Linked DNA regions of Xenopus tropicalis. The protein of the gene in region 2 binds, or shares a complex with, the protein of the main gene of each other region. Links are inferred from orthologs where the notes say so. Each region holds a gene or a part of one and is shown on either strand. Other genes may lie near its edges.

Region 1 (8,564 bases), on a different chromosome or scaffold from region 2:
CCCCATGCAGGGACTAAATGGGCTGTTCCAACCCTTAGGCAAGTGTAACACTGTGCAGATTCTCAGCCTGTGGGTAAAGGCAGCCCCAGAATCCACCACTACGCTTAAAAAAAATCTGATAGTTGTGGCAGCACCAGGAGCCACAGAGCAATATTTTGCCGAATTTTGCTTAGTGGGGCTGCAACCGAGCAGACACCTAGCAGATTTTCCAAGTCCAGGGATGGATTCTCAGCTTGCATTTAAGCCTGAGAATCTGACCAGTGTGGCAAAAGCTATGGCCCTGTGGCCAATGAGCAAATCATACTCTGGGGCCCACAGAGGCCCATTAGACAAGGACCTTTACTTGTAGGTAGTCTGATTAGCCAATGGTCACCATTAGACAATTTGCCAAGTTTTCTTATGGCTACATGAGCAATCAGCTGTACAGGCAAGTGTAAACAATACTGTTATTTAAACCTAAACAATGGGTTTCAAAATATCCTGATATACAAGTCAAAAGGAAACAGAGTGCCTGTTTACAAATTATCAACAGCTTAGTTTAACTTAAGTTGGTCAGGGTGGGAGTGAGAAAACTGTTTTGAAAGAAGGTAAAATGTTTTAGGAAAGCCAATTATTTCCTTAAACAGGTAATGTTTCAGTTTATTCTTCCCCCAGGACAGTATATTGAAGGCTTAAGGCTGCTGTACACATTTCAGCTTTGTACAGTGTCTGATTGGCCTTTGGGTTAGATAGATACTGTATAACAGTGATCTCCAACCAGTGGCTCATGATCAACATGTTGCTCCCCAAACCCCTTGGATGTTGCTCTCAGTGCCCCCAAACCAGGTAGTTATTTTTGAATTCCTGACTTGGGGGCAAGTTTTGATTGAATAAAAACAAGGTTTACTACCAAATAAAGCCCCCTGTAAGCTGATGTGTGCATAAAGGCTGCCTAATAGCCAATCACAGCCCTTATTTTGCACCTCCATGAACTTTTGATGCTTGTGTTGCTTCCCAAGTCTTTTTACATTTGACTTGGCTCACGAGTAAGAAAGGTTGGGGATCCCTGCTGTATAAGATGCTATGCATAGTATGGCCACGTTTGCACTGTTTAGACAGCCTGAACAGTTGAAGTAAAGAGGAGTTTAACAGGCAAAGGTGGGTTTCTCTTACCTCCCAGGAAGCAGCTTTGCTATTTCAGCCCAGCGATTTCCCAATACTTTATGGGCTTGGCATATAATTCTGTCCTCTTCCTCTGTCCATGAGGACTTTTTCACTTCTGGATTGAGGTGATTGTGCCATCGTTCGCGGCACTGTTTGCCCATGCGGCCTTTGAGCTGCTTAGCAATCAGGGTCCAGTGTTTGGTGCCATACTTCTTCACTAATTCTATCACCTAGAAAGAATTATCAGAGGTAGACAAAGTTCAACGTAAGCCACAAGGATGTTGAGCTCACAGCATCCCTCCAAAGACTACAAAAGAATTGTAGTTTATCAGGGCTGCCACACCAATAATAATATGTATTCCCCTATTCAGATACCTCACTTCATACCTTCTCATCTTCCTCTTTTGTCCATGGACCCTTAACCAAGTCAGGATGAAGAACACGAAGCCAGCGGTGCTGACATTGTTGTTCAGTACGATTCTGGAGGAAAAACAAAAATGTAAACACCTTACTAAAACATTAAGACTAAGGAACAAAAAGACAGTGCTTATTGTACTAAACCTTTGCTCACACCAAGTAGTGCCATCCGATGTCTAACAGCGCTGAAAGGGCATAAACACCTCTCCATTAAGCCATAAGATTTCTGGGTTCTATTTTCCCTTATGGGGAAAGGCATAACCAGCATATACCCTAATATGGAATTAAGATGTATAAAAGGGGGTAGTAATGGAAATAAATGTTAACAAGAAATAGGGAGTTTTAAGTGTACATAGACTAGCTCGTCATCAGTTCAGAAAGTGTCCCCTGATCAAAACAGCCATAAAACCATTGTAGGCCAAAGGTAACATCTGCCCAGGGCCAGCAAATCAGATATACTTTAACAGCAGAAGACCTACTTTATATGAGGTTTTTATCCTATTGGTGTATGTTGAAGACACCAACTGACATTTCACACATTTTTGCCTAGATGTCAGCCCTAATGCAGTCGTGCACCAAAAGAATCACAAGCTGATGCTGCTTTAATGCCCAGTGCCAGAACCGATGCAGTTCCCATGACTTGCACTTGATTTTTATATGCGCAATTGCTTTAGCTTTGTCATGTTGGGACAAATGCAGTGGCTACAACTCCCAGCGCTGTTACAGTTGTGTAGGGATTCCAGCAAAAAGCTGCATTGCGGATAAAAACCAAATAGGAAAATTGCACTTGCTCACTAAGCTGCGTTTCTATAAGACTTATAAAGCATGGTGAAATGTAAGATTTACACTGAAGGGATGATGGAACTTACAGTAAGGTTACTGGCAATCACCTTCCATTCACTCTGTCCATGCTTCTTCACCAAGGCTTTTAGCGTCTCATCCTAATGAAACAGAACAAAATGGAAACAATAATTAATACCTTACTGGGGGAAACACGGACGGGAGCAATTTTTACGCATGACCTAATACTGGGGAGTGACATCCCTGTACTATTTTATGTAAATAGTATCACCAACATATAAGACCCCCAGAGGATGACAGAGATGTCAGTCACAGTAAGAAGTCCAAAGACCAGCACTGGAGGGACAGAAGGGTTCTCATCCAGCCCTAGGCAAGAGATAAGGACTCTGGATTGTATTGCTCTAGCAATACATCTAATTGCATACTGTACCTCTTCTGGGGTCCACTTCACTTTGACCCTGCTTTCCTTTGGCTCCGGGACATCAGAGTCTGTGTCCTGATATTGCAAATCCTCAAGATCATCTCTGTATGGGTTAAAGAAAAAATTATTATTAGTATTTAGTCAACATGCAACAGTGTCCCAGAAATAAGCACAGGTTCAGCATATGGAAAGAGGCAGCATTACTCAAAGCACCCAGGGAATAGGGTGTCTGTTAATCTAGCAAAACAAGGATTAAAAAAAAAAAAAAAAAAAACCAGGGTGCCATGAGGGTGGCCACTACTCCAAATGCGAAGGTCGAACTTTCCAGCAACCCCTCTCCAGCTTGCTTTTGGAGATATCACATAGGGGCTGGGTCAACTAGAAAGGGGGGTGGGGTGGAATTCAGCTTGGGAAAGCAAAGGATCCTACATGTGGCACATAGCTGGGACAGAACACAAGGTTACAGGCAGAAACATGAACAAAAAAAAAAAAAAAAAAAAAAGAGAAAACTGTGCACTAGGGAAGTCATCCTTGGGTTTTACTTAAGCGTCTGATAAGTGCATTATATTTCTGTAAATGCAGTCAATGTAGGTGGGTTGCAAAGGGGAGAAGTGTGAAGGTGGGGGAGGGAGTTGTAATCAGCATGACATCCTGAGGCACCTTTACACAAAAAGTGTAGTGTTCCTAGATATACAAGAAAGAAATTACTAAGAATCTAAGGAAATATGGCCGACAAAAACTTCTTTCTCTTTAAGAAGGGTTATAAATGAGGAGCAGAGACAGGCAAACAAGCACAGGGAGGCTGCAGAACGTGGCGCTCAGCTGGAATGGAGCACTGAGAGAGCAGGGACAAACCCAGCTGGAGAGTCACAAGTTAACCTCCTGGCGCAATAAGACAAAAGCCAAAACAAAAGGGGTCGTTGGGGGCCAGCTGTGCACAAACATAGCATTACTGAAGGTCTGAGAAGTACTGGGAAATGTGGGAAGCACAGGGAGAGAAATATGGGGTAGTAGGGCAGATATGCATGCCCTGAAGTGTATGGAAAGCCAAAGGAAAACTCTCAGAGGGAGGACAGTGGAAGCTTCATAGGAAAGTGCAAATGGGGGTGGGGGAGAGCGGACAATGGGGCAATGCACGGAAGCCCACTCGGGGTGGACATGGAAAGTCCTTATGGGGAGACAGAACAAGGGAAGTAAAGAGAAGGCTAGAAAGATAATAGACAAAAACAAGGGTTGGCAATACTAGCTGGGGAGAGAGCTGAGGGGGCAACAGTGATGGGCAGCTGGGGAGAGAGGTGAGGGGTGACAGTGATGGGCAGCTGGGGGAGTACAGGGAAGGGCAGACTGGGGAGAGAGCTGGGGGGTAGAGGGAAGGGCAGACTGGGGAGAGAGCTGAGGGGGTAGAGGGAAGGGGAGACCGGGGAAAGAGCTGAGGGGGTACAGGGAAGGGGAGACCGGGGAAAGAGCTGAGGGGGTACAGGGAAGGGGAGACCGGGGAGAGAGCTGGGGGGTAGAGGGAAGGGCAGACTGGGGAGAGAGCTGGGGGGTAGAGGGAAGGGCAGACTGGGGAGAGAGCTGGGGGGTAGAGGGAAGGGCAGACTGGGGAGAGAGCTGGGGGGTAGAGGGAAGGGCAGACTGGGGAGAGAGCTGAGGGGGTAGAGGGAAGGGGAGACTGGGGAGAGAGCTGGGGGGTAGAGGGAAGGGCAGACTGGGGAGAGAGCTGGGGGGTAGAGGGAAGGGGAGACTGGGGAGAGAGCAAAGAGCCCAGCTGTGGAGAGAGAAGCAGTAGAATAGTTTAGCTATAGTTTAGGCATGTGGAACCGACAGAGAAGCCCAACTAGACAGGAAAGTCCAGAATGGGGGAAGTTAGTAAATCCAGAGAAGGCCAATAGGTGAGAGCCCGGCAAGGCCAGGGCAGAGGCAAGGCCAGGGCAGAGGCAAGGCCAGGGCAGAGGCAAGGCCAGGGCAGAGGCAAGGCCAGGGCAGAGGCAAGGCCAGGGCAGAGGCCAGGGCAGGGGCAAGGCCAGGGCAGGTGCCAGGGCAGAGGCAAGGCCAGGGCAGAGGCAAGGCCAGGGCAGAGGCAAGGCCAGGGCAGAGGCAAGGCCAGGGTAAGGGCGATAACACAGGGCAGGGAGGAGGCGCAGAACTGAAAGCGCAAAGCAGACGCCCAGTGACTGGCACCTACTCAAAAGTAGTAAGAAAAGGCCGCCGGGTTCTAAAGTAGTAGCTGTGCCCGTATGTGCAGCCCCACTGCCCCACCCGTTAGTGCCAGGCTCACCCGCGGGCCCGCCGGGACATCCTGCCGCTCCGGACACTTCAGTGCGCAGTCTGTGGCGGTATTGTTATTTCCTATCTCCCGCCAGCTGCGCACGCACCCACAGAACTCCCTTTCCGGGGCGGAACCCACTCCCTGGGCGGGGCCTACAGCCCATACGGAGGCGCTCTAGGTGCCTGTCACTTCTATATGTGGGGAGGGCCATGCGTCCGGTTTTAACCAATGAACAGCAAGCGCACTGATGTCAGCGATTTCCCGGCGACCAATCAAAGCTAGAAATGAGGGACAGCTTCTGGCGCCTATTACGTTTTGTAACAACCCGAGTGACAGAGGATTCTAAAAATTTCCAGACTAGACAGTCATTTCCTCTTAGTTTTGGCGACGGTAGCGTTAAGCCATGCATTTTAAGTGGGGTTTACGCTGACATCACCACCTCAGATTTGCTATGAGTGTATAGGTTTTTGAACATTAAATTTGAACTGCTGCCTGGTTACTAGAATGGGAGTTCCCTAGCAACAAACATAGAAGTATAATAATAATAATGAAATGGAACCTTCACAGTCAGTCTGTTTTTCAGTTACCTAGGTAACCTTGACAACTAAGCAATTGCAGGCTGGAAAAAAAATAGAATGGAAATATAAATAAAACAAAAAAAACCTGAAATGTTTATTAGGTACTTCTACAGGACTGCCATTGGCTGGCTACAAGTGGTATTGCTGAGGGGGGGTGGGGTATGTGCTCAAATATAACCTCTCCTGAACCCAGTCTGAGCAGCATGGCTTAGGAGTGACTGCCCAGTAGTGGAAAGAACCCTCAGTAAAGGCAGAAATTATATCACTTTCCCTTCCACCCTCTGCAACTGGGAACAGGGGGAGCAAAATGGAACTTCTATATGAGAGAGAAGACTGGGGGAAACCATAACTGAGATGGAGGAAGGTTATAAAGTAGACAGTGAAGATAAATGGAGAGGTGTTAGGTTAGGAAGACGTTATGGGGGTACAGCAGGGATGTCTCTATAACAAATACAAATTTAATGTAACAGTTAACATTCCCTTGAAACATGGCTCTCACATTCCTCAGTATCCAGCATCCCTATGAGCTGGTCTGGCCTAACAACTACAAGTGAGGAATGGGATAATTGGATAATGGGTGGGGTCACAAGGCGAGATTGATTGGCTACTTAACCTCCTAAAACACTATATAAAAGGCTACTTGCCTGGAAGCCAGAATAAATCATTTAGAGGAAATCTATCAGGGAAGGTAAGTGGCTGCACAAAGGGAATCAAGTTGGTGGTGTGTCGCGTAATTGTTACTAGGGCTTAGTACAAACCCATATTGTGTTGCTGTGTGAAGGTGCTGGCATGTTTAGTAATTTAACCATTTTGTTGGCCAGGTGATTAACAGAGACATAGATAGGTGCTGAGATGCTTGCCATTCATTTGAATGCCAGTTGGCTGTTGTATGCACAAATGGCTTTGGAAGCTGAGATGTTTTATATGTTTTCCTTTGTCTGTTTTGGGTAAACTTTGTTGTTCTTTGTTTAATATGTTGGAGGCAAAAATACATGTTGGAATATTTGACTTTCATCAAGCAATATGCTGTTTGAGGGGACCAGGACTGGGATACAAAATATGTTCCAAGTACATAGAGACCCAAACAGCCCCCTTATGGCATCTTACAGCAGCCCCACATTTGTCTGGATCTACAAATTACCAGTCTGCGCCTGGACTGGCCTGTGACTTCCCAATAGTAAAACTACTACAACAACATAGACTTACTCACATTCCCTGTTCTGCAACCCTACAACAGGCATCCCTTGCAACATTTCCCATTTAAAGAATAGTAACAACCTGCTACACCTGCAGTGATTTTTCACACTTGGGAGTATTGTGTGTTGTTATCCTAACTGCCCTAAGCCAATTCTAACTAATTGAATGCTGTGGGATAGTTGGCAAAGCCCTACAGGGAGTGCTTATATACAAATCTCTTAATCATATGTCCTTTTTAGAGGTGTATAATAGTGGGATTACTGGAGCCTGGTTCCTTCTGGCTTCCAACTGTTATCCCAGCCTACTATCCGTAATAAATATTACAATAACTCTCCAGACCTAATCTATTAGACTTGGCTTTCCTGCTATTGTTAGTTTGCCCTTGATTGCTACTCATTAGATATAAGAGTGGCTTTACAGAGTGCTATGTCTTTTTAGTATGAATGAACAATTAAGTGAGAGCTTTGGCCATTCGCACATCTGCTATGACCCCACTGAGGTGCCAAGATAAATGATAGATCGTAGGACAGTCTCTTAATGCCCTCAGGGTTGTGGCTTGTGCCCAAATGGATACCTGCTGTACCAAATATGTTCATGTGTGCTCCCCTATCATAAGTTACTTAAGCATGGGTTTCCTCTAATTCTTGGTTTCAAAAATAAAATATGGTATCTAATATCCTACTGCTTTTTCTTAATTGATAGGTTTGAGAGAAGCCTAAAAGATGTCTATCAGCTGGGACAGCAGTGGTATCAGTTTCCTTATGTCCAGCTCCAACCTCACATTGACCGAGATCATGGACTTGGGATTTGTGGCCACAGCTCAGAGTAGCTCTTCTCCTTGTTCCTCGGGGATTGAACTGTTGGATCAAAGAACCCGTCCCAAGCCCGGTGGGTCACCATTCCTGCTTAAGGTTTCGGAGTCTAGCCCTCTTGTAGGTGGAGAGAAGCAGCGAATGACTGTTGAGGAAATCGTGCCCTGCCTCAGCAGGTCTCCATTCCCACCACCTGACGGTCAGGTGTTTGAACTGTCTGCTTTAGCCCCAGAACCACTAAGTAACTCTATTGTTGGGGTATTCTATGGTGCAAAAGTGTCAACACCCTATAAGGAAGAGGCCACTGATGCAATATGCGTGGACATCCAAGTACCTAAACTGCAAGATTCAGAGATGGTGGTCCAGGCTGTTGGGGTGCAGAAGCCTTCTGTACCACCAATATGGGAGCTCTCTGAGATCAACTCTGCTTTAGAGGAGAACACTCCAACTCTGGATGTTTCTGTCTCTGACTTGAGGTTTACAAGTAGCTCTGACCGAGACCAACCTTCAAATCCACAGGTTCCAGCTTCTCAATGTACCCAGTGGGTTGGGGTCACTCATAAGGATGTGGGGCGCTCCTTTTTACAGCCATTCCGCTACCAGCGCCAGCTTAGTGCCTCTGAAATCCCAGTTACCTCAAATACCCCCTTGCTCCATTCCTTCCATCTGTCTGCCGATGAGGTCGGAGGGGAGTGGCATCTGGAGGTGACCACCTAATCCTTGTTTTGACTCTTAATATCACTTGCTTGTTCTGCAGACAAACCTTGTAAACTTCCAGAATATTTCTGATTGCCACGTGCTGTTCAATACATTACTTCTCATGACTATTTTCTTATCTATCTGTACAGGACTTTGTATGTTATATAAATAAAGAATAATCTATTCAAGCAGTTTTGTTTGCTTTTACTCGGCACTAAGTCCTATTG
Region 2 (7,851 bases):
AACGTAGATCATGTGAACAGGCGGTCACAGGGCCACCACTACAGACAATGAATGCTGGAATTTGTAAGGGTGAAGAGAGTGAGCTCCTGGACAATGGGATGCTTTGTTTCATCAATCAGATATAAAGCAGAAATCTAGCTGTGGCGCATATGCCTGGTCCTTGGTAAGCGGCAGCAGCTCCCAGAGGCTCAAGGTTAAGTGAAAAATATACTGAAATATCTGCCATTCCCCATCCACTTCCTTGTAACAGTTTCACAAACTCCCTGAAAGTAAAGGTTGGATGGCTGTTTAGCAAATGAGGGAATACAGGGTTATGGGCAATAGCTTTATTACAAGTTGATACAGGGACAGGTTTGATTGCCATCTTGGAATCAGGAAGGAATTTTTTCCCCTCTGCGTCAAGTTAGAGAGGCTTCAGGTGGGGGGTTTTGCCTGCCTCTGGATCAACTAGCAGTTAAGCAGGTTACCGTATATATAGGCATGAAGGTTGAACTTGATGAACGTGTGTCTTTTTTCAACCTAACTAACTATGTAGATAATGGTGCTTTGGCATTCCCTCACCAGTACGCTTGCCCTGTGGTGTTTACCAGCCAATATATCAGCTGACACTTAGCCATCAAAGCTGCAACCGCAAGCAAATCCAGAAAATGATCATTTGGAGGCTTTATTCTGGCATTCTTCTGCCTGGCCCCTGCCTAAGGCCTCTTCTTCCCTTAGTGGTATCTACAATGGGATGTCATTGAGAAGAGACTCATTGATCTTGCTGTATCCCTTTCATTACTCCTGCTTAGTTAAATTACTTTGAATGAATTTTAGGTTTCAGACATGGGGGGGTGGGGGGGAGAGTAGATAAAATTACAAGGGCCAGGAAATAATTTTCTCATGGCACATGGAGGAATCCCTTGTATTACTGAATCTCTGCTCCTCACTTTCAAGTACAGATACAGTTGTTTTCAGATTTATGGATGTGGCCTTCTGTCTTTGGCTTTTAAACTTCTCTTTTGCATTGGAAGGTTTTATAATCTGCATGATTATTCTGGATACCAATGTTGCTTCACTTAACTTTTCCTATAGGGCAGTCTACGGCCTAAAAGTGGCCGTACATGGGCAGATTAACGATGCTGATTTGGCAGCCTATCTGCATGTGAATGGGGACCCCCGACAGGCCTTCCTGATTGGTATCTGGCCGAAAATCGACTAAAGGTGGCCATACACGTGGCGATCCGACGATGTTTCGTACGACCATCGGTCGCACGAAACATCGTAAGATCCGCCACACACCATTCAGGGCTGAATCGGCAGGTAAGGAGGTAGAAACAATAGGATTTCTACCTCCTTCTGCCGATTCAGCTCTGAAGGGAGAATTTTGGTCAGGCGCCTTCTATGGCGCCCGATCAAAATTTTCAAACTTGTCCGATCGGCGAGTCGTCCGATATCGGCAGCTTCCTGCGATATCGGTCGACTCGCCGACATGCCATACACGCACCGATTATCGTACGAAACGAGGTTTCGTACGATAATATCGGTGCGTGTATGGCCACCTTAAGTGTCGAGCGGCTGGTTTAAATTTTTTTTTTAATAGGATTAGCTCTGGGGACCACATTGGCTGATTGATCTTACCAAACGAGCAAATCTTATAATGTATGGCCACCTTTAAAGGGGACCTGCTACCCTAAGAAATAATCCTAAATGTATTTCTATCATGTTAATTGAGCAAAATAAACCAATATCTAGAAGTGATAAATCTGGCTTTCCAAGCAGCTTCTTCAGGCTCAGCAGATAGTGTGCACACACTTCATTTTATTTACAACTGCTTGGTTGTCTGGGAGGGGGGTTGCCAGTGTTTAGGCAACCCCAGGGATAGTAAACATTAACCTGCGACCCCAGGCTGGCTTTCCCCTTTGCTGAAAAACTAAGTGACCTGTGGTACTGTTCTGTTTAGTGCTGCCATCTTGTCTCTTGTCCCAGGGAGCGCATGATAGAATAAGACTGTAAATTAGAGAGTAAATTGCAAACATTTACTCTACTCTGCACCCTGCTGGTGATTACTGAGCAGGACAATGCATTACTATTGTGCTTGCTAATTTTTTTTTTTCCCCCCCTCCCAGCAAATTGCCTTTAAGCACCTTGTTCAGAGGAATAAACAGAACGAGCAGCAAAGCCGTTGCCTCCCTGCTGGAAATTCCACCATAAAATTACCCTTTATCATTGTGAACACCAGCAAAAGGACTGTCATTGACTGCAGCATATCCAGTGACAAGTGAGTGGCACAGTGGGACATTAAGGCCTGGACCTTCCCATTACAGAAAACTTAAAATAGTAGGAGAAATCCTGACAGTAGGATATGAGCCAGTGATGGTAGATAACCTTTATTCTACATCTCTCCTGCAGGTTTGAATACCTTTTTAATTTTGACAATGCCTTTGAAATTCACGATGACATTGAAGTCTTGAAAAGAATGGGAATGTCATTTGGGCTTGAGTCTGGAAAGTGCACATCAGAGAACCTGCGGCTCGCTAAATCCTTTGTGCCCAGAGCCCTGGAAGGATACGTCACAGGTAGTCAGCTAACCAAATACACTCAATCCTTAATAAACAGGTAACCTTCCAGATATGGACTTGATGAAATAGGCCATACCATTTCCGCTAAGGCCCTTACAGGCCTAAATAAGGTTTACAGCAGCCTCTCTGGCATTTCCCAGATTATTCAGATTTTTAATCTGCACAATAATATAATCCTAAATACAGCCTCCAGGGAGTCAGTGACAGATGTTTATGACAAGGGGATTAGTTTACAATTTAACGGCATCAGGCAGGATAAATCTTGGCTGTGTCTAGCTGGACGAGACTTTGGCCAGAGCTGGCCTAAATTTGCCATCACCCTTTCTGGCCACATTGGTCCAGGTTCTTACCTAAAGCCAACTGTTTCATCACTGCAGACATTAACGGATTCATTAATGTTTGAGATTGAGAGAGATGGGATGCGTTGATAACTGCAGGAAAATCCATGGCAGTCATGAAAGGTAAACATGCTGCCTGTGATAAATACTGGCCCTTTATTATGGGGATCACTCAGGAACACAAAGGGAGCATTCCCAATAGATCCTCACCTGTTATAAGTAGCAAATAGAAGAAGCGGCCTGTCATCAGGGAAGGATGGTTTAATTGCCATGGTCTTCCCTCAGCCTTACTAAGGCATACCAAATAACTCAACTGCAGTTTTGCAGCAGTTGGCAGTGAAAACCAAAACTTCCTTATACAAGTTACTTCCCATTGATGTGAGTTGGAAGCTCCTCTGGTCATACTGCTGTGTTTTTGGGTGATAGTTCCCTATGCAGTCTAACCCATGGGCTTCCCATTAATTTTAGAGGGAAGGGAATATTTGATTATTAAATTAAGCTACGGCTCAATGTGTAACAAACACTGATATATTTAGAATAAGAAAGCTGCTTGTCCCAAGCATCCCTTTTAAAGGCACAGTAACACCAAAAAATGAAAGTGTATAAAAGTAATAACAATATAATGTACTGTTGCCCTGCATTGCTACAACTGGTGTGTTTGCCTCAGAAAGACTACAATAGTTTATATAAGTTAGCTGCTGTGTAGCCATGGGGGCAGCCATTCAAAGGAGAAAAGGCACAGGTTACTTAGCAGATAACAGATAAACCCCCATTATAAGGGGCTTATCTACTAGTTATCTGCTATGTAACCTGTGCCTTTTCTCCTTTTTTCCAGCTTGAATGGCTGCCCCCATGGCTACACAGCAGCTTATTTATATAGTAGCTTTTCTGTAGCTAAAACACCAGTTTTTTGCAGAGCAACAGCACATTATATTTTAATTACTTTAAAACAGTTTCATTTTTTGATGTTACTGTTCCTTTAATACACTGCAGACCATTTTAAACTATCATCCAGCCTCTCTTCATAGTATATACTACTGTAGAAGATCGCTGTAGAAGATCACTAAGCCTGTTTGGATGTAAAGAGGACACAATATGGCTATAGTATGAAGAGTTTGGATGTGCCCAATCGCTGTGAATATCAAAACAGACTCACAAAGCTCATTTGAGGATTTGATTGAAGTTTAAACACTGCTAAAAGTAATGTCAAGCACCAGACATGTATTCTTACAACCGTGGGGTCCTGAAATCTGCCTCCACTAAACCAGACTAGCAGTAAAAGTCTGAACATCAGTGTAAGGCAGCCCCGGGACTGGCAATCTTTGGATTCTGGCAAATGCCAGAGGGGCTGCTGTAAGATGCCATAGACAGTCACTATTTATTGGGCTAGCGGGGGGCTGTTTGGGCCTCTGTTTACTTGGGGGCTCTTTGGGACCTGGTGTAAGGCTCAGTTCCTCAGAGATACGGAACCCAGGGTTATTGCACTTCTCTGCCCAGGCCTATAGCTAGCACTGGATGCCTAGTTGGTTAGTAATGCTGCTCTAGAATCAAACTTGGGTAGAGACAGTATTCAGTATATAAGAGCTGAGGAAATGTTTCACGCCTTTTACTGTACGACACTTTGTTGTTTTATGGGCTGCTGGCTGGACAAGTGTGCACAAGGGCAGGTTTTGGGGACACTTGCGCAGAATGCAAAGTAGACGAAAGGCGGGGGAATCTGTGGGCCAAGATATTGTCTGCAAAGCAGGACTGTGCCAGCAGCGGACTCATTGTGCATATAAAACACAGGCCCAGCTATTCATTCCCTCCTTGGTGACACTTCTTGTTACTGAAAGGATTTTCCTGTCGACTGCCAAGAACAGTCTCTCTAAATAGGAGGGAAATCCCATTCAAGTTTCCTGCATATTCTACTATCAAGTTGAAAGCCTCAGTAACTAGTGCCGCGCTGGAAGAAAGGCACTCTGCTCCAGGTTAACCTTCAGTCGCTCTTGTACTGTCCCTAATATTGCAGTTGTATACTTTCGCATTCTGTAGATTTGGACTCCATTTGCTTTGATTTACTAATAACATTGGTTGCAGTTATATGGCTGGGGGCACGCACAGCAGTTTTTAATGGGATAGTGAGCAAAATAACAGGACGTTTTTGTGAACAGAATCCTTCACACAAACCCTGATTCTCTGGGGTAGGGCTTGGCAACCACTGAAAACGTGACAATTATACAACTATAAAGCAGTTTGTCACGAAAGCCAGAGTAGTTAATAAACCAGTGGGACAATAAGTGACCCCGACATGGGAGAGGAGAGTAGTGGATGGAGAGGAAGAGCAGTGAGGAGCAATGGATGGAGAGAGGAGGAGGGCAGTAAGGGGCAGGGAACAAAGAAAGTAGGGCAATGAAGGAAAAGAGAAGGGTTGTTGAAGCAAAAGGGGGCTCAGTGGTCAGGAGTATGAGAAGGATGGCAGTGGGAAACAGTGGGTGGTTTGGGGAGAGTGTAGTTATGGGCAGTAGAAAAAGGCAGGCCCGGACTGGCAGTGCTGTATGATGGGGGGCTGTTTAGGTCTCTGTCCATGCCTAATGAGAGAAGAACAGTGAGAAACATTGAGGAGATAGAAAATGAGGAACAATGGAGGGGAGAGATGAAGGCCAGTGAATATAGATAACAATGAGAGAGTGGATGTAAAGAGAAGGAAAATGAGGAGCCATGTAGAGAGGTGGTCTGTGAAGGACTATTAGACACTGGGTATTTGTGGAAAAAACTTGGGAGACATGAGCATTTTGTTAGGGAGGAAAAGTTACAGAGATACACCTCTTGAGAGATTGGTAAATCTAATATGGCGGGAGGAGGAGTGGAAGAGGCGACACCAGGATAGAGGGCAAGTGAAGCCAGATTAAAAGAAAAGTAACACTAAAATTTTTTAAGTGAAAAAGCTATTCTACCCTGCACCAATAATTGCCCTATCCTGCAAACCCCTTAGTATTTTGAATGCTTTAAAAGAAAATACCTGTTAAAACTTGGCTTCCTGTCAATTGAACGGAGGCGATACCGCGAAGGAAGGAGCAGGCATCAACTATGCGAGGATCGATTGATTGAGCCTAGCCTTCCTTCTGTATAGGAAGGAGTCAGGCTAGACTCGATCGTCACATAGTGGATGCTGCTCCTTCCTTCGCCGTATTGCCTCCGTTCAATTGACAGGAAGCCAAGTTTTAACAGGTATTTTCTTTTAAAGCATTCAAAATACTAAGTGGTTTGCAGGATAGGGCAGTTATTGGTGCAGGGTAGAATAGCTTTTTCACTTAAAACATTTTAGTGTTACTTTTCTTTTAATCTGGCTTCACTTTAGTGTTACTTTTCCTTTAAAACATCAGACATCTTAATTTCTATCCATGATTCCTCTATGTGTGCTAAAGTCTTATTTTCTGTTCCCTTAGAAATGGCTACAGGAAGCTCATGGGCAGATCAGAGTTTTAATTCACAGACTGCTCTTTCTGCAGTGAACCCAGCTGGCATCACCACAAACTCCCAGGCAAGGTACAGTAACTCCCAGTGCTGCTTTTCCACTCAGGTGTATGGCCTTTCTTACATCCATGAATTTGTATTAGGATTAAAGCATTTGTCAAGTCAAATTCACCATTTTTTATTTATGGTCTTGCTTGTCCTTTAATTTTGTTTGACTTCCCCTTTAAACAAATTGTAAGCTATTCGATTAAAGCAAAGACTCACACCCAATGAGTTTATACCAGGTACTATTACTTATTAATGACTTCTTGTTCTTTATTTCCTTTTTCCACTTATTTTGCTTCCATTCCGCCTCTCCCCCCTCCCCTTTCATCTACAGCTTAACTTCGGGCTTGTACTTTGACTCAGAGGTGTCCCTAACCACCAGCAGTCACCATTCCAGCTCAGGAACGTCACACTACACAGAGTCACGAGGGGAGACCCCCTGCTGGTTTGACGACGATGAAGATGATGAAGACGACTCATCCTCCATGGAGTAGGAAAGCAGACAGACGCGATTGTGCGTGTAGGGGTCATTATGCCAATGCTGTCGGATCTTCCATCCCAGCGGGAGGAATAGAATAAAGTGCTGTCCTCGAATTTCTCAACCAATCAGATTTATATTGTAGTGAACAAAAACTCCAAACCCTTCAATCAACAAGATGGTGTCTCTTCAGATTGGATGTCCCCGTATTAATTGTTTATTCTTTTTTTATTTTGTTGAAGAAAGGAAGTTTTTCAGACTTGATTCTTTTGGATCAAAAAAAAGTGACTGTGATTTTTCTTTCCATTATGAAACTGGTCGGTCCCACCAAGGCCTGCATCAGTGAATACACAGAGTCCTGCCAGGGAGGATCCACTGAGAGCTTTACCCATTGCCAGTAACATAGGAGGGTGTCCTGCTATCTGTGATCAGAGACTGCTGCTATTGTGTGATTGCTGCAATGATTGGGGGGGAAATCGGGAGAGAAGAACCACATAACTGTCTGTAACCCTTAATGTTACACGTGCTAAACACTGGAAGGTTTCTCTTGGAGAGAGAAGATGGAAAACCAAATGTATGTTGGGCTATTCTGTCTCAAAGGGAGCAGTTTGTATCCAACAAAGATACCTTAATTCATTATTCAGAGTATGGGGAATTTAGCCTTACAAGTCATTTGCTTCAGTTGCTTAGGCTCTCCAAAGCCTCATTTCTTCAGTGAGGGGAGAACGGGTGCTGTGGGGATTGGCTGGAAGTTAAGGCCATTTGTTGTAACTTTTGACTTCTTGAAAGGTCCTTGTGTAATTGGCTGCTTTCTAAACACCCAGCTCCTCAGTGTCCTTTGGCTTTCTAGCCTCCTTGTGCTGAAGAGATTGGTGATGGGTATGTTATATGACTATACATCCAATGAGATCTGCCAGCGAGTGTTGCATTTTGAGCTAAACTTTCCCTGTCTGATATGAGCAAATCCATGGGT
Region 3 (8,612 bases), on a different chromosome or scaffold from region 2:
GGGGATCTGCATTACCTTTGCACCGGCAACAGTGAAAATTTCTCCTGACAAAAACATTTCAAGTGCAAAACCATGCAGACATTCCTTCCAAGACAACTTTTTGTTATTACTTTGTATTTGTGTTTAACGTTTTTCCATGGCGGCAATTTTCATCGTTCTGGGTGTGGGTCAAAAAAAATTTAACTCACGCCCAACCCTAACCTGATGTCAACCTTCCCGAACACGGCTAGCTGAGCAGTCAATTTATATACCCGCGCTCACTCCTCTGACGTCACTTAGGGGGCAGAGCAGGTGTGCATCTATAAATAGATGCTGCTGGAATAGTGACAGTGTTATGCTGCGGGCGAGGAGGGCAGCAGAAAGAGCACAGCCCGCACCCGAGTGCAACCCACACTCTGCCTGCTTTTTGTAGGCAGGCAGAGAAAAGCGGATCCACTCCTATACACTTCTGTGTAGCTGCACTTAAAGGAACAGCTTCTGCTTACACAGAATAGTGATCAGCTTGAAACTTGCTTTTTTAATTTTTTGGCCCGATTTCTACTATGCTCCATGCAGCTGCACTCAAGCCACAGCTGTGCCTGTTAGAGTAGCTACACATGGAATCTTATGGGAACAGTTCCGCTTCACTCCGCCTGGCAACAAAGCGCAGGCAGAGAGAAGCAGCCTATGCTTCAAGTGACTTTTCAACAAGTATCAAACAATTCACACACTTCTTTACAATCAAATACAGGCAATAACTGGTCAACTACAACTGTAAAGGGAGGATTAAGTTTCACAATTTGTATAAACCGACTTTAAATTATAAGAAAGCCTTTATTAATTTTTTTTTTGTGTGTTCCATGGTGTGTCATAATTAGTGTTCTGCATATTATTACCAGTCATAAGTAGTGTAACGTATCCTCAGTAAAATATCTACACCAAATATAGGTTGATGGTTAGAAGTAACAGTATTGTTCAAAACACCTATATAGATTAAAGGACATGTAAAGCCTACATTTACCTACAATGTATATCAGTTGGGCATGTCTCCCCCACCCAAATGGCATCATTTGTACTGCATATATATCCCCTCTGTCTTCAAGCACCATTACATTTTCCTAAAGCAAATAGCAGCTTTACCCGGTGGCCATTTTTCCTCTGATACATAATCAGATACATTTAAATCGACAAACAGCATACACACACACACACAGACCCTTATTCAGCATACATTTCATAAAGAATGCAGGCTCACACAGGCAGAACGGTCTATGATAAAAGTTCTGCTTTGTTTGAGCTGAGCTCAGGAGAGGAGGTTAGGAGAAAAAAACTGAAGCAGACAGCTAGAGCTGAGTTTCTATGGGAACCAGCAATGCCATCTCTTTACTGGCTGTTAGACTGGAGGATGTGTTTAGTAATCTGAGCTTAGAACTGAGCATGCCCAGGAGCCAACAGCGAAAGCAAATTCCCTATGGAGGGGAGCGAGTGGGTTACAGGAGGAGAAGGAAATCTAAGTGATTAAGGAGATGTTGCAGCCTTACTATTAACCTCTGGACAACGAGAGTGGCAGGTATTGAAAGAATTCAAAGAGGCTGTTCACTGATTAAAATTTGTGTGTGTGGGGTCTACATATCCTTTAAGTGATGGATTAAGTGGTGGTTAAAGGAACAGTAACACCAACAAATTAAAGTGTATAAAATATACTGCTGCCCTGCACTGGTACAACTGGTGTGTTTGGCTCAGAAATTTATATAAACAAAGCTGCTGTTTAGCAAGGGGGCAGCCATTCAAAGGAGAAAAGGCACAGGCACATAGGAGATAACAGATAAACGCTATTGTATTCTAGAGAGGTGATCCGTTATCTGCTTTGTAACCTGTGCCTTTTCTCCTTTTTTCCAACTTTAATGGCTGCCCCCATGGCTACACAGCAGCTTATTATATAAACTATAGTAGTATTACTGTAGCAAACACACAGCTTTTACCAGTGCAGGGCAACAGTACATTATATTTTAATTACTTTAAAAAACTCATTTTTTGGTGTTACTGTTCCTTTAAGTGCACATTCCTAAGAGAGGGGGTGAGTTCTTAGCATTCTTAAGGAAGGGGGGGGGGGGGGCAGGGGAGAGGAGAGAGCCGAGTGTCTCTGGCAGAGGAAGACAGACAACAAATCTTTTGACAGAGAACTCTTTTTGCAGCATTTCTGTGAGTGTTTATGGCTGTATTTACATAGATCTTTCTGATAAAGCTTACTTAGTTTTTGCCTTTCTTTATCCTTTAAGGTCAACCCCAAAAATAATTGTTTGCCTAATAAAAGAAAACATAATACCAAGCAACTTTCCAAAGTGAATTTATTGAAAATTTTGAGTGCTTTAAAAGTTATTTGTAAATGTAATTGCTATTGAAAGCAGCATTTGATGAACTCCTAGTTGTTACTTTTTAAACAATGTTGCAAAAGTCAGTCTCCTCCAGCAAGGCAGGTCTGTCAATCTGTTGGTTTGTGTTACATTGTTTCAAGAGTCAGAGCCACCAGGGCAGATAATACAAAAGGACAAACAAACACTGCTTTTAATAGTAATTATATATACACAAATAAGTCAAAAACATTACAAATTTGTAATGAATGAATATTGCAAAGTTAGAATTAGAATTATGTTTTCTTTTGTTAGGCAAAAAAATATATTTTGGGCTGACTTGTCCTTTAAAACAGAAAATGTAGGAGTCAGGAAACATATTTTCTCCATGTTCACATTTAAAGTAAAAGTTGCTTCTACAATTGTAGAAATTGAAGATCTAATGCAAGTCCTCAGAGAAATATATTAAGAAATTCTGCCACAATAAGAAATTAAAGTATCAATTTGCTCTAATACAGACACAACTGGCATTCTCAGCAAATATTGTGTACAGTTAATTTTCAAAACTACTAACACATAAGTATAAGCTTGTCGCATTGGGATAAAGAGCTTTAACTACATACAAAGACGTAATGCAAAAATAATCAGGTAGAGCAAAATTAATCAACAGTTCTAGTTGGCCCTAACTTATCAAATTTAAAAGCATTACACTTTCAAGGGGAACTCTGGCTACCAACCATACACAACACAGAAATCCCTAATATACCTATTACTGTAGTAATAAATACTATTTTTATAAGCTGAAATCCAGCTCCAAAACAGTTCTTCCCTGTTCGCATCTTAAATGGCAGGAGAGGAGGGACTAAAACACTGATGTTACAAATTGTTACAACTTCTCCACAGCTTACAGACAGAATGAAGAAACTATATAACCCCTAATGCATCGCATAGTGATGTTCCTTTCCTTACTGATATCATGTGTACAGGGAATTGTGGGATTTTGATGATGCAGGCTGAAGGCAGGCTGAGGACAGTCGACTACTGTTTCAGTTTTTTTTTTTCAAAGTAGTCGGCCAGATCAGCAGGAGAACATGTTCCAAATCATATTGTTACATAAAAAAAAAATCATTAAAAGCTGCATATTTTTAACTGATGCATATTGCAAAGTTACTTAAAATTATTTTTACTTTTAAAAATGGTTATGTTGTGTTTGAGTGGAGCTCCCCTTTAAATAATTACACATATGTACATTAGCAAGCAAGACATGCTAGCATATATGCTACACATAAATTAAATCCAGCTCTAAGCAACTTTCAGATAAACACATTTTAAATATTAAAAGTTACTGAAAGCAGTATCTGGCTGTATAGAGGTCTCTGCACTAGTGGCTCTGACACTTGAATTAATATAGAAGAAACTAGTCATAAATACTGTTTTCAATCACAATTACATTTACACATAACTTAAAAACCACTGAACCGTTGCAATTAATGCATATTGGAAAGTACCGTAGAAATGAATTTTCTCTAATTCTGCAGAAACCAGTTTGGACAAAAATGACTTTACTGCTACACCAAACAGCATGTATTAATGTTAGGTAGACAGGAAGTGCTTCTGTTAAGGTCTTGCTTTCCTTAACATGACTCATCAATTGCTTGTGTCTTGTAAAAGTAACATGACAGGGTGAAATGGACTACAAACAGAAACATATCTAAAGATACACTATACCACAATGGATATGCTGTTTAGGTATGCTCACACAATCATGGCAACAGCTCAGATAGTGGTCGGTACTGGGAAATGTAGTTTTACAAGGGAAGGGGGGGGGGGGCATACATTTGTCTTTTCCTGTTACTAAATGGGTGTAATCACTTGGCATTATAGTGGTTCTACAAACCAACAAGCAGTTTTTGCACAGTAAAAGAAAATGTAATAAAGCAACTTTCTAATGTACATAAGTTCCAAGGTTTAATTGTTTTAAAAAAAAGTTTTGTAATTAGGTATTAGTGTAATTGTAGTAAAAAGTTTATTCCTTTCTGTTCTCTAGGTCTGACTTAATGCAATAGGAGTCAGGTCTCCATTGTATCGACCAGCTTTTATCAGTTGACTTGCAACATTGTCAGAGGAATAAAGAGACAAAAGTGCAGAGAATGTAAACAGAGGTACTGCGGTCAATAGCAGTTACATAACAAATGCGTTTTAAATAGTTTATGATTGGACATTTGCTTAAAAGTAGGTTTCTTTCCTTAAGCAAAAATAGTTTTTGGGGTCGAGGAACCCTCTGTACAAAACCAGCAATAGACACTGTGCATCTATAACAGCTTAGAAAGTAGGCTACCACACTGTTGCAATGCAGGCATGTGCAGGAGATACATTATCGTACGATGAAAACCGCAAATTGACTGATCTTCAGAAGGGCAAGCCCTCAGTTATCAAGCACTGACACTCTGCAAGTTCTACACATATCGTGCACGTAACCTAGCAAAACCCTCACTGAACAATTCACCCAATATGTCTCAGCTACAGGCATACTGGTATAGAATCCATATGCAAACATAGCAGCCCATTTATATGGTATAAACGTGCGAAACATCGACACATTTACAAACAAACACGAGAGATCCAGATATCTCAATATAATTAATAGAGTGCACATGTGGACGTGCATATACATTTAATTATGTGTTTATAAGAAACCTAGAGCTCATGTATATACCGCCTTGAGGTCCAAAACCCCGTCCTCTGCCTCTTGCAAAAGAGAAACGAACTTGCTGGTGAGTAGCCCAAGGCTTTTTTCGTGCCGGCTTGGTGTGACCGGGAGATGAGCGGGATCCGCCATGATGGAACAGCGAGCCTGTGGGCGGAGCCTCCGGTCACCTGCTCAAACTGCTGTTGAGCGGCCGTTGCTTCGCAAAGCATGCCGGGAAGAGGCTGTACCAGTGTAGAGGGAGCGTGTCTGGAGTGTTCAGAACAAGCGCAGAAGGCCTGAGAGAATGTTGCGGTTAGTCGACAGGGATGCACACAAGATGCAGAAAATATGTTTTTAAATGCATTTTAGAGCCGGGGACACCAGAAATTAAGGTAACTAGCGGAAGCAGAGTAGGCAATCAGAAAAGCTTCTTGGTAAAGGAGAAGGAATGCGAACATCGATGATAATATTTAAATAAAGTATAAAATGCTAGTTAAAAAGCGTCGTTTTGCTCTTAACTTATTTTGGATTGGTAAAAATGTAAGAACATTGGAGTTCTCATTTGTCATTCTTCTGTCATTCCTCATTCTTTGGGGTTATGGGCTCTGGCACACCAGGAGATTTGTCGCCGGCGATTTTTAAAAGAGAGATTTGGCGACAAGACGCCAATGCTAAACCAATGGAAATCACCAGCGTCAAAACATATGAGGCTACTTCAAGTCACCTGCTGTTTCAAATCGCACACAGACCCTTTTCTGAATGACTTGAGTAAACATGTGGGAGGGGTAACTGTTGAGTGGTACCATGGGTAGCAGATCGCCTGGAGCTCAACTCGCATGAAATCTCTTCGTGTGTATTGTCTTTGCAACTTGTCGCCAAAGCGCGGGGGGAAAAAACGCAGGCGACAAATCTCCTCGTGTGCCAGACACACTGAGCTACTAGTAGCAGCTACTTTTTCATTTGGGTTTTTCATTTGACTCGCGAGTCTTTTTCGGCGATTTTGGGAAATCGCGCTGCCGCGTGTGCCATCCCGCCGGCGACTTACATGTTCGCCGGCGGGATGGCGGGTCAGGGCAACTCGGGGAGATTAGTCGCCCGCGAACAGGGAGTTTTGTCGCGGGCGACTAATCTCCCCCGTGTGCCAGAGCCCTTAGCAGAGGCAATTCTCAGTATTGTCTATGGCAGGGTATTTTCTGGTGTTTAGTAGCCGCTACTAAGTAGCTCTGTGTGTCTTCACCTTTATGGTTGCCTATTAGGGATGGGCGAAAAAATTTGCAGCGCAGTCAAAATTTTACAGTAAAAAAAATAGTAAAATTTTCCGTACGTCACTTCCTTTCACACGGGTGTCACTTTCTATGACGCGGTCATCTGCTTTTGACGCATGCGTGTGTAAATGCAACTCATTAGAGTAATGGAAAACTGGGAGAGATTAGTCACCTGTGATAAATCTTTACTATTGCGGGCGACTAATCTCCCCAAAATTCCATGTCACAGGCAAGAATGTAAATCTCTAGTGGGATGGCATACACGTCACTTTGATTTCCCGAAGTTGCCTTTGAAAGACTTTTCAGATGAGTGGAGACTTGAAAGCAGCAAATGGAAGAACAACTGCATAATAATAACCAAGAGTTTTAGAAATGTATTGAACAACAAATGGGATCTGGCAAACCAAGCTGGGTGGACTAACCAGGATTCAATCATTCTTTACTTCAGATCACTCATGTTTATCTATAATGAACATATAATCATTACTGTTCACAATTTATTACCATTAGAAGTAAATGTTAAAATCTGTCTTAAGTCTGAGGGGACAGAAGCTGCATTTCTTGAATATAAACACTATAGCAAGTGTTGTAAAACAGCAATCCAGAAGGCAAAGATAGAAAATGAGGAGCGCATGCGGGATGAGAGTGTGGTCCCATTGACTTATAGTAACAATAAGGTTAAAACAGAACTCTATTGCAGTGTTTTTCAACCTTTTTTGGGCAAAGGCACACTTGTTTCATGAAAAAAATCACGAGGCACACCACCATTAGAAAATGTTAAAAAATGTAACTCTGTGCCCAGCAGCAGTGCCCCCCTAGTACACTGGTGCCCAGCAGCAGTGCCCCCCTAGTACATTGGTGCCAAGAGCAGTGCCCCCCTAGTACATTGGTGCCCAGCAGCAGTGCCCCCCAGTACATTGGTGCCAAGAGCCAGCCCCCCTAGTACATTGGTGCCCAGTAGCAGTGCCCCCATAAGTCAGTGTGCCCCGTGGCCCCCCCTAATACATTGGTGCCCAGCAGCATTTTACTTCTGCTCTTCGGCGGCCTCAGCAGCATCTTCCCCTCACGCGCGCCGCCTCTGCACTTCTGCCTACACGCGACCGCACACAGGCCCTTTTATAACGTTGCGCTCCGTGCGTACTGACGTCACCCGTACACACGGGGCGCAACCAATGACAGGGCCCGGATTTTATTAAAGGGGAAAGTAAAAATTGCGGCCCTGCCTACGGCACACCAGGCAACATCTCGCGGCACACTAGTGTGCCGCGGAACAGCGGTTGAAAAACGCTGCTCTATTGTATATACTTTTCTTCAGTATATACAATAGAGCGGCCAGAGTGCCAAGACCCACCCAATAATTTCAGTGTTGCCTGAGCTCAATCTAGTCAGTGGTTAACACAGGATATGGTACATAAAGGGTTACTCAAAATTAATGTGAACAAGGCACCAGGGCCAGATGGAATACACCCTTGGGTTCTGAGAGAGCTAGGTTCAGTTTTATAATGGCCTCTGTTTCTGATATTCTCAGACTTGCTGTCATCTGGTATGGTACCTATGGATTGGAGGAAAGCTGATACCTAAATTTAAAAAGGGATTGCAACCTCAGCCTGGCAATTATAGGCCAGTAAGTTTGACATCCCTGGCAAAATTATGTTCTGGAAAGCATGGCTTTATGAAGGACAGGTTATGTTAGACCAATTTGATTGCTTTTTATGATGAGGTTTGGATTTTGCCAAAACATTTGATTCCGTGCCACACAAACGACTGCTTTCTAAACTAAGGTCCGTTGGTCTTAGTGAAGTTGCTTGCACATGGCTACAGGATTGGGGACAGAGGGTGGTTGTTAATGGTCCATTCTCTACTTGGAGTAAGGTTCTTAGTGGGGTCCCTCAGGGTTCTGTACTGGGTCCAATATTTGTTTAACTTGTTCATTAATTGGTGTTATAAGTAATGTATCAGTGTTTGCAAATGACACATAACTCTGCAGCCCAATCAATTCTATTCGGGATGTGCAACAGGATCTTGACAAACTAGCAACCTGGGCAACTAAGTGGCAGATGAGATTTAAACTCGGTAGATGTAAGGTCATCACTGGTCAAGTTTGAGTTGTTTACATTGGAGAAGTGATGCTTAAAGGATAAGCGTGTAGGTAAAGCCTACATTTTCCTACAATGTATATCAGTTGGACATGTCTCCCCCACCAAAATGGCATAATTTGTGCTACATATATCCCCTCTGTTTGCCAACACCATCTTGTTTTCCTAAAACTAATAGCAGCTTTCACCTGGTGGCCATTTTTCCTCTGACACATCATCAGTTACATTAAAA

The links.
Region 1: tfdp2 (region 2) and mybl2 share a complex: the UniProt entries of both Homo sapiens proteins name them as parts of the DREAM complex. The link is inferred for Xenopus tropicalis from reciprocal best matches to the Homo sapiens genes TFDP2 and MYBL2.
Region 3: tfdp2 (region 2) and e2f4 share a complex: the UniProt entries of both Homo sapiens proteins name them as parts of the DRTF1/E2F transcription factor complex. The link is inferred for Xenopus tropicalis from reciprocal best matches to the Homo sapiens genes TFDP2 and E2F4.

Annotation. Positions count from the first base shown.
Region 1 is NC_030686.2:39,922,349-39,930,912, reverse strand, and holds the start of mybl2 (myb-related protein B), read right to left. Parts: upstream 5,222-8,564; 5' UTR 5,081-5,221; coding exon 5,061-5,080; intron 2,886-5,060; coding exon 2,792-2,885; intron 2,502-2,791; coding exon 2,430-2,501; intron 1,624-2,429; coding exon 1,531-1,623; intron 1,374-1,530; coding exon 1,153-1,373; intron 1-1,152. Other genes in the region: uncharacterized protein LOC733539, read left to right, coding at 7,549-8,355. UniProt on the Homo sapiens protein: Transcription factor involved in the regulation of cell survival, proliferation, and differentiation. Transactivates the expression of the CLU gene.
Region 2 is NC_030681.2:129,527,432-129,535,282, reverse strand, and holds part of tfdp2 (transcription factor Dp-2), read left to right. Parts: intron 1-2,108; coding exon 2,109-2,260; intron 2,261-2,391; coding exon 2,392-2,558; intron 2,559-6,327; coding exon 6,328-6,427; intron 6,428-6,734; coding exon 6,735-6,894; 3' UTR 6,895-7,851. UniProt on the Homo sapiens protein: Can stimulate E2F-dependent transcription.
Region 3 is NC_030680.2:76,529,580-76,538,191, forward strand, and holds the start of e2f4 (transcription factor E2F4), read right to left. Parts: upstream 5,222-8,612; 5' UTR 5,170-5,221; coding exon 5,047-5,169; intron 1-5,046. UniProt on the Homo sapiens protein: Transcription activator that binds DNA cooperatively with DP proteins through the E2 recognition site, 5'-TTTC[CG]CGC-3' found in the promoter region of a number of genes whose products are involved in cell cycle regulation or in DNA replication.